2 linked regions of the Coturnix japonica genome follow. The main gene of each other region encodes a partner of the protein of the gene in region 2 in a complex. Links are inferred from orthologs where the notes say so. Each region holds a gene or a part of one and is shown on either strand. Other genes may lie near its edges. The genes, in order: WWC1 and LATS1.

Evidence for each region.
Region 1: the proteins of LATS1 (region 2) and WWC1 are in contact, whole or in part, in a crystal structure (PDB 6J68), measured with the Mus musculus proteins. The link is inferred for Coturnix japonica from reciprocal best matches to the Homo sapiens genes LATS1 and WWC1. Residues at the interface, in NP_034820.1 of Mus musculus: Ala546, Glu547, Ala548, Pro549, Ser550, Tyr551, Gly553, Pro554, Pro555, Pro556, Pro557, Tyr558, Leu562, Leu563; in NP_740749.1 of Mus musculus: Asp17, Tyr23, Ile25, Asp26, His27, Arg30, Thr31, Thr32, Ser33, Trp34, Asp64, Val67, Tyr70, Ile72, Asp73, His74, Lys77, Thr78, Thr79, Gln80, Ile81.

Annotation. Positions count from the first base shown.
Region 1 is NC_029528.1:7,344,210-7,348,522, forward strand, and holds the start of WWC1 (protein KIBRA), read right to left. Parts: upstream 2,939-4,313; 5' UTR 2,857-2,938; coding exon 2,738-2,856; intron 1-2,737. UniProt on the Homo sapiens protein: Regulator of the Hippo signaling pathway, also known as the Salvador-Warts-Hippo (SWH) pathway.
Region 2 is NC_029518.1:43,382,638-43,386,445, forward strand, and holds part of LATS1 (serine/threonine-protein kinase LATS1), read right to left. Parts: coding exon 3,477-3,808; intron 629-3,476; coding exon 478-628; intron 1-477. UniProt on the Homo sapiens protein: Negative regulator of YAP1 in the Hippo signaling pathway that plays a pivotal role in organ size control and tumor suppression by restricting proliferation and promoting apoptosis.

The sequences.
Region 1 (4,313 bases), on a different chromosome or scaffold from region 2:
GGAAGCACAAGCCTCATTTGCGGTACTGAGTTGGTGCAATTCCAGCTCTTAAACATCACTGTAAGTCAGACAGCAGCCAGGGCTGATATTTCTGAGACAGGCTCTTACTCTGATCTGCCATCCAGCACAGCAGCTTACAGAGCAGGTGCATCCCTGCGTGAAGGAAGCAGCTGGGACAGCACTCCAATATGCTTTACCACATGCTGGTGGATGCCTGGAAAATCATGCTTGCTTCTACAATAGGAATAACAAACTGACTTTTCTCCCCGCTCAGTAAGGCTGGGTCACCCACCACACTGCCTCCAAGTCCTGAATTACCTAACTCAGGACAAATTTGTGACTAGAAAAAAAGTCAGTTATTTCTGCATTGTTTTATATAGAGAACACAAGATTTTTTTTTTTTTTTTTTCCATCTGGCCACCAGAAGTGCCTCACAGCTTCTTAACAGGAAACCCTGCCTACAGGATACCCAAACCCTCGGTTACACTGTAGCACAGGTACAGCAATGGTTACATTACCAACTCCCTCCCATGATTCATCTCTGGATGATTTCCCTAAACGCTCTAAAATCCACACGCTCCCCAGGACTCCTCACCTGGAACAGCCCTATGTGATGCAAGGCAGGAGGCACACAGCGGCCCTGGCCAAGCTGTCTGAGCATCACACAGGACAGTGACTCACCCAGGACTGCTGTGACTTTGCCCCACTTGAAGTGCAATGGCCCTTCTAACCAACAGCCCATCTGAAGAATGGGTGCAGCGAGCTACAGGAGAGCAGGCAAACCTGCAGCGATCACAGTGCCAACCCAAGTGCAAACCTGTCACCAGCTGCTATCGCACAAACAATGGGCAAGCCTGTGCCCTGAAGCTACATGGTATCCCTGCTCATGGCTTTTTCCACTAAATTAAGCTAGAATGAAAGACTTATGGAGGTTTAAAACCTGCATGCCCTTTCCTTAGCCACCAGCTGTTGCTCACTGAATAAACTGACCATTCTGAGGGCACAGTCACACCGAGATCTCACCATAGAGAGGCAATGGGGTTCAGAACGAGCCTTCAAACATAAACCCTGCCCCGCTTCCCTGAAGTCTGCAGTTTTACAGCCATGCTTCCCAGTATCTACTGCTTCCTCCTGGATCAAAGACAGCACACATAAGCAGAGCACAGGGAGCACTGCAGCACCTCTCAGCTGCAGCTACTTCACACACAACTTGCAGGCAGAGAAACACAGAACACACACCATCAGATGCACAGCACCTAAAGCCAACCCTACCACCGCAGGGACAGTCTGAGCTGCTCAGAAACTCCCATCACCTGTTGTCCACACGGAGCTGTCTGTCATCAGCTGAAAAGGAAACTTTTTCTTGCAAGTACAGCAGCCCATGTCTCAAACTCATTCAAACACGTGGTCCCCCAGGTGACAGGTTCCAACCACATTGGTGTTCTGAGGCAGGAGCAGCGCCTAACAGCCTGTAATGAGTTCCTGGTTTGCTGCTGGAAGGTGACTCAGAAGCAAAGCTCGTCGGGGCCATGTGTATTCAGGTGCATTGCTATGTGCACAACAAACACGTCATGTGATAGGGCCTGTCGGTGGTGAATGCTCTCCTCTAACAGCACTGAGCACTCAGCTCTGCGTGGATAAGGCATCTTCAGCTGCTTCTGCCTCTGACTCACAACCACAGACACATCAGAACAGCTATTAACTACTATCAGTCCTAACAGCTCTCACTTATCTTCACCAAAAATAAAGATGCCGAGAAAGTATCTCCAATTTAAGCTTATAACAAATTTTATCAAGGTTAAAAGCCACACCATGGCACAAACACTCTCCCTCGACTCTTCAAATTGCTTCACTGAAACATCATTTCAAAGCGTGCTCCAAACGTTCAGCAGTCCAACAGGTTACACGTTTGTCACCGGGATACACGAGGATTACTGCTGGAATGCAGAACACTCCTTAAAACCCTGTAAAACCGCACAACTCGCTGCCTTGCAACACAAGCTGAGCTACGCAGCACTGGGATAAGGCACAGCGCCGCATCACACGTGGGATCCCCAACGGGAGCCCCTCAGAGAGCAGGGACTGAGCAGGGGGGAAACCAGTGGGCTGCGGGAATACTTAACGACGGGGGTTGGGGGTAAGCCTGTAAGGTGCACCCAGAGCACACCACGTTCAGTGCTTGGGAATGCAGCTCGTCCGGGCCGATGTGTGAGTTGTGAGCCAGGGATTCCCGACACGGAGCCGCGCTGTGCAGCACCTGAGGCGGAAATCGTGGGGTTACCAGGACCCCGCAGCGCCCAACAACCCGCGCCTGCTCGGCACGGCGAGGGACAAAGAGCCGTCGGGACGCGGCCGAGCGCGGGGCGGTTCGCTTCGATCCCCGCGTTCTTCAAAGTGAACAACACCGGGAAAGAACCCACGGGGAACACACAGAGCACAACCGAGCGTCCCGGGAGGCGGCGACCCGCGCGGAACTGAACTCAGAGCACCGCGGCACCGCCCGACCCGCGCCCTGCAAACGGGCTCCGTGCGGCAGCCGCTCACGGCAGCGCAGCCCGGAGGGACACGCCGCGGGTCCGGCCGCTCTGGGGCCGAAGGAGGACGGACACGGCGCAGGTGAGGGCGGGCCCGGCCCAAGGCGGAACGGCGCAAAGAGGCCGGGCCGGGCGCCGAGCCCCGCAGCGGGGCCGCACGTCGGACAGAGCGCCGAGCCCGACCCCGCCCCAACATCGCCCACCTGTCCCGGGGGTCGATCCAGCTGGTCTGCTTGGTGTTGTGGTCGATGTAAAAGACTTTCCCGTCGTAGTCCCTCGCCTCCTCCCAGCCCGCGGGCAGCGGCAGCTCCTTCCGCGGCATCGTCTCCAGCTCCGGCCGCGCCGCCCCATGCAGCGCCCCGCACCGCGGCGGGGGCCGAGCCCGGGACGGGGCCGGGCCGGGCGGGCGGCGAGGAGCGGAGCGCTGCGGAGCGGGGCCGCAACGGCCCAGCCGCGCAGAGAAGCGCCCCGGGCGGCGGCGGCGGCTGCTCACATGCCGGACCCGCGGCGGGGGCGGGGCCGGGAGGGGGGGCGGGACCCGGCGGGGCGGGGCGGGGCGGGACAGCCGACGGAACGAGCAGCGCCGGGACCGGGACCGGCCCCTCCCGGCCACGCCGCCTCGGGCCGCCCCCGAGCGGGAGCACCGCCCCGCGGCACCGCCCCGCCTCGCCCCGGTGTTGCGGGCAGCGCCCCCTGCTGGAGGGGCGGAGGTTCAGCGGAGCCGGGACGGGGGCGTGTCCGCGGGGCGGGGGGCGGCCCGCCATGTTCTGAACGTCACTTTTACATGGCACAAATCGGCTCGGCCGTGCTTCCACTGACCTGAGGGAGCGCCCCGTGTCGTCTTTCTCGGTCCACCCGGCACAGCACGACGGGTCGCCCCGCGCTGTCCGTCAGTCGCGCAATCACGGCGTGCCGGGGCCTGGCACGGACGTACAGCCCCACAGCTGCGCGCCCCGATCGCCGCCCACGGGCTGCGGCCGCGCGGGGTCCGGTCCGAAGTATCACCGAACGCGTTAAGGTGGGGGCGGCACCTCACAGCTCACAGAAGCAAGAGGGAGACTTCTTTCTACTTCTGATAGGAATTTTTGACTGGTGGGAAGGCCTGGTTTATGTGATGTACTGCTTTATAGCATTAGGCGATGTTTCTTGACATTCTGATTTCAGTTCTATGATTTCTTCTCTTAACCAAGCACAGTGTGTGTGCCTGATTGCAACAGCACAGAGAGCTGGGCTGCAGCAGATTTCCATGCTCAATAATAAAATTAGGCTGGAACCTGCCAGGAGCCATCGTCTGAGGATATAAAATGCCTGTACATATAGTTTCTCCAATAGCGAAGCTGCTGAGCTGCTGTAACAGCACAGGCAGTGTAATGGTTTGCTATCTGCCACCTCCTGATGACTGAACTGCCACTTCCACTGTAAACCCTACCAGCTGAGGGGTCATACGTTGGCTGTGTTCTCCTGCCTCTCTCCAGAAGCTGGCACACAACTCTCTCCCGTGGTGTTTTCACCACTTCAGCATTGCTTTCTCAGTCCTTGCCTCAAGCTCTGCAGCAGAAGCCTGACTTCAGCCCTGAACAAATGTCAGCGGAAGTCAGGACACTACAGATTGGGATAAATGGTCTCCAAGCATCAACTGCATCACTGAACCAGTTCCAAATGTTGTTTAAGAGTACCCCAATGATGCACGTATTAACACAGAGGAGCTGGGTAGTGAGCCTTGTCCTTCCGAGTGCTTCCCCTGCAAATGTGTCCCCAGAAAGGAATATCACAAGTGGT
Region 2 (3,808 bases):
TAGTTCCAACCCCCCTGCCTGGCAGGGCCACCAAACACACACATTTACTAGATCAGATTGCCCAGATTGCCCAGGGCCCCGTCCAACCTGGCCTTGCAAAAGGATATACAAGGATATTGTTTAGGCATTGTACTGAGGGACACAGGTTAGAAGGAAATATTGGTGATGGGTGGACTGGATGATCTTGGAGATCTTTTCCAACCTTGGTGATTCCATGCTTCTAATACTTAGACAAAATGCTAAAAGCAATCAGATATTTTAAAAACAAGTCTTAAATTCACACCAAAGACACTCATGTTTCAGAAGAATTCTATTATACACTTCACAAATAATCTTCAAAGCAAAATCCTGTATCTCAGCACCTCCTCTCTTCTACTCTGAGCACACGACAGAGAGTGCTAGGTTCTAATTTGCTATTTTGTATTTTTCACCAGTAAGAACACAGTTAATGAGTTGAAGTGCCACAGATGCACCTACCTGGTGGTTTCATACCTGCATTTACAGGTCTTGCTGCAGCTGCAACCATCTGCTCCCGACGAGGATCCTGGTAGCTCATTTTACTAATAAATTCGATGGCTGCTTCTATACTACGGTTGTTAGTTTGTCTGAGGGCTTGTATAACCATATCCTACAGGGAAAATTAAATACAAAAAGTTACTCAAAATGGCAAGAATAATAAAAATCACAAGAATTTAGCCAAATATCCTCCAGTAATTTTACAAAAGTACATAATGACTTCTCTCGATCATCTTAAATATAAGATGACAATGTTTTCTCCACAACAGATCCTCCAAAGAAATTAACAGCCTGCATCTTCTGAAAAAACAACTATATTCTGATATTAACTGTGTCACCATGCTATTCTTATAGTTTGTCTGTCTAGGTATTTATTTGCTATATGCATTACTCAGATAACAGCTAGAGCTCCCACCTAACTTAATTTATTCTATAAAAGATATTCAGATGTGTTTCAGTATTTTGGCATTTGCTCATTTTTCTTCAACCTGGAATATCAACAAATATCCTTTAGCTTCTCCTCAAGTATTTTTCACTAGTAAATATCACAGTATCATCAGAAATCCTGTTACTTTTGTGGTGGGGATTTGCTGCGTCCTCAAGAGATCCAAAGAAAAGCTTTGATCAGATGAGCAATCCCAGGTTTGTCAATGGAAAATGCATCATAGATCCGCGGTGTTTCTCTGGACTTGAATGAGACTGAGGTCAAGAAACAGGCGATCGAAACAGTCAGGCACTCCTCTCCCATTTTTATTGAATGGTATTTTGCAGTTGACTTAGAATGTGAAAAAAATATACAGAGTGACTCCCTTTAATTAACCGCTCTGCCTTCCAGTGATCTGTTATGGCCATACTTTGTCATACCAAAGCCATCATTTCAGTTCACATTATTTTCGAACAAGTCACCAAATTACAGCAGTATATGGCAGGAGGGCTGGAACTGGATGATCTTTATGGTCCCCTCCCAGGCCAAGCCATTCTATGATTCATCTGCCAGTGAAATCAATGGGAAATCCAAAAGGGCTCGGAAGGGAGGAGGGCTCAGAAGGGAGGAGGTCAGTATCAATTTCAAATTCAAACCCACATTTATACTTCCATTACATCTGTATGTTTTTGGCACTGCAAATGTACAAAATACGCAGCCTTCAGAAATGATAACAAAATGAACAAAACAGAAAAGTATACATACACACACACACACACATATATATATATAAAACAAGATAGCCCTGATGCTTACAGATCAGGTGTACATTGCTAGATCAAGAAGTTACAACATTTGATCTCACAGCTTCTTCATGAGACACTTACACCTGCAACATTTCAACTTGATTGCATCCAAGAACAAAAGGTTGGAGAGCAAAAGGCTTCAAGACACAAAGGCTCCAACAGAAATACCAACTTGAGATGGTTTTCTAGTTTACTATCCAGCCACAAACCATCCCACAGCTTGTGAAACTGACTGGAGACCCATTCTGTAAAAATGGATACGAGAGCTAATCTATTGTAAAAACCAAAACCACTCCAGCAGCAAACCACAGATAAGGAACAAATCATTATAAAATCATTTGTCATTATAAAACCCTTCCATTCTTACTGCAAATCCAGCTTAATCTTTGCATTTGGGCAAGCCGGAGGAAAGTGCATTTTTTTCCACAAGCAGCACCTGATTCTGGGACATTACTGAGGAAATGCCAATTGACAGAATTACCCAGGTTGGAAAAGATCATCAAGTCCAACCGCAGCCTAACCAGTACCCTAACTCTAAAAACCTTCCACTAAATCATATCCCCGAGTACCACATCCAAACGGCTCTTAAACACATCCAGGGATGGCGATTCAACCACCTCTCTGGGGAGCCTATTCCAGTACCTAACCACCCTTTCTGTAAAGAAGTTCTTCCTAATATCCAACCTAAACTTGCCCTGGCGCAACTTGAGGCCATGATAGTAGAATTATGAATTTACCTTCTTGTAAACTTCAAAGTCACGGCTGGAGAACTGTTCCTGAATGAAACCAGATCCCTTCGTGTTGTGTGGGATTTTAGTTGATGATACGATACTGACTTAATAGTTACATTTCACACTCATAAGGACTGCTTGATTGTTTGTAACTTCTAATTGTAAACAGTGGAGAAATGTTCCCCTTCTTTATAAACTGATCTGCCTGTCTTCCCTATTTTCTTTTAGGAGGAAGAAGTACTGCCTATCTTTCCCACAGCACCATTAACCAGTCTGTAGTAAGTGCCTGGCTAAGCAACGATCCAACCAAAGACCGAATGGAAATCACCAACCTCATTCCAAATCAGACTTTGTCTGTGAATACTTTAGATGTTTTGGGAGCGTGCCTAGTGTACGGTACTGATGCAGAGGCTATTTATGTCAACAGACAACTTTTTGCATGAAATTCTTCCAGTATCCCTTTCAAGTGCTGATTAACTACAGAGAAATGTTGTCCGTAGCTTTGGAGATATTCGCTCCCCTTAACCTAACCTCCCTGTGAATACCAAAGCATCACAGAACATTTTTCCCTCACTGGCTTTCTAATAACAGATGTGAGAAGGCCATTAAAATTTGTTCCTGAAATACGTGCTATTGCCTATCACTTTAGGATGGCCATACTATCAGCGTATTTTAGTTGTGCACAATTTAAAATCCTGTTGAGTATCAAAGGCAAAATCCATGTTCTGAAGTGTCCACCTCTCTCTAAAACGATTTACAGAATTAAAACAACCCCTACCATGTAAGAACACACTGAAAATGGTGCAAAAAAATGAAAAATGCCTCTTTAAATCTGTTCCCCTTCTTCATCCCAGCTTCATTAAGTTCTAATTAGAACTCTGCCAGATTTCAAAGCTATTTTGCCCATCATATGCTGTTTAAACATTCCATGACCAACACCTCATCCAACACACTCTGACAGTTTTTAGAACACTAAAGCCTGAACATTAAATACTTCACCTCATCAAAGCCAGCAGCTTGTAAGTCTTGCAGCATTTGTCGATTAACTTCTGACGTTCCTTTGACAGCTGAAGTAGTTTCATTTGCAAAGGGCAGCAGCGAGTTTCTTATCTCTTGCAAAACTTTATGATATGTTACAAATTTGGGGGGATTTCGACCTTGTCGAGGATCTTCAGATGACATCTTCCCCATGCTGAGATCAGCTTTAGCAGCATCTGAGGGTTTTGGTAAATTCCTGAGGCTCTCTCGTATTTCCTGTAGCATCTGCTGGCTGCTGCCAGTATAGTTACTGGCAGGAAAAGTCTTAGGCCTCATCTGTCTATAACCTTCTG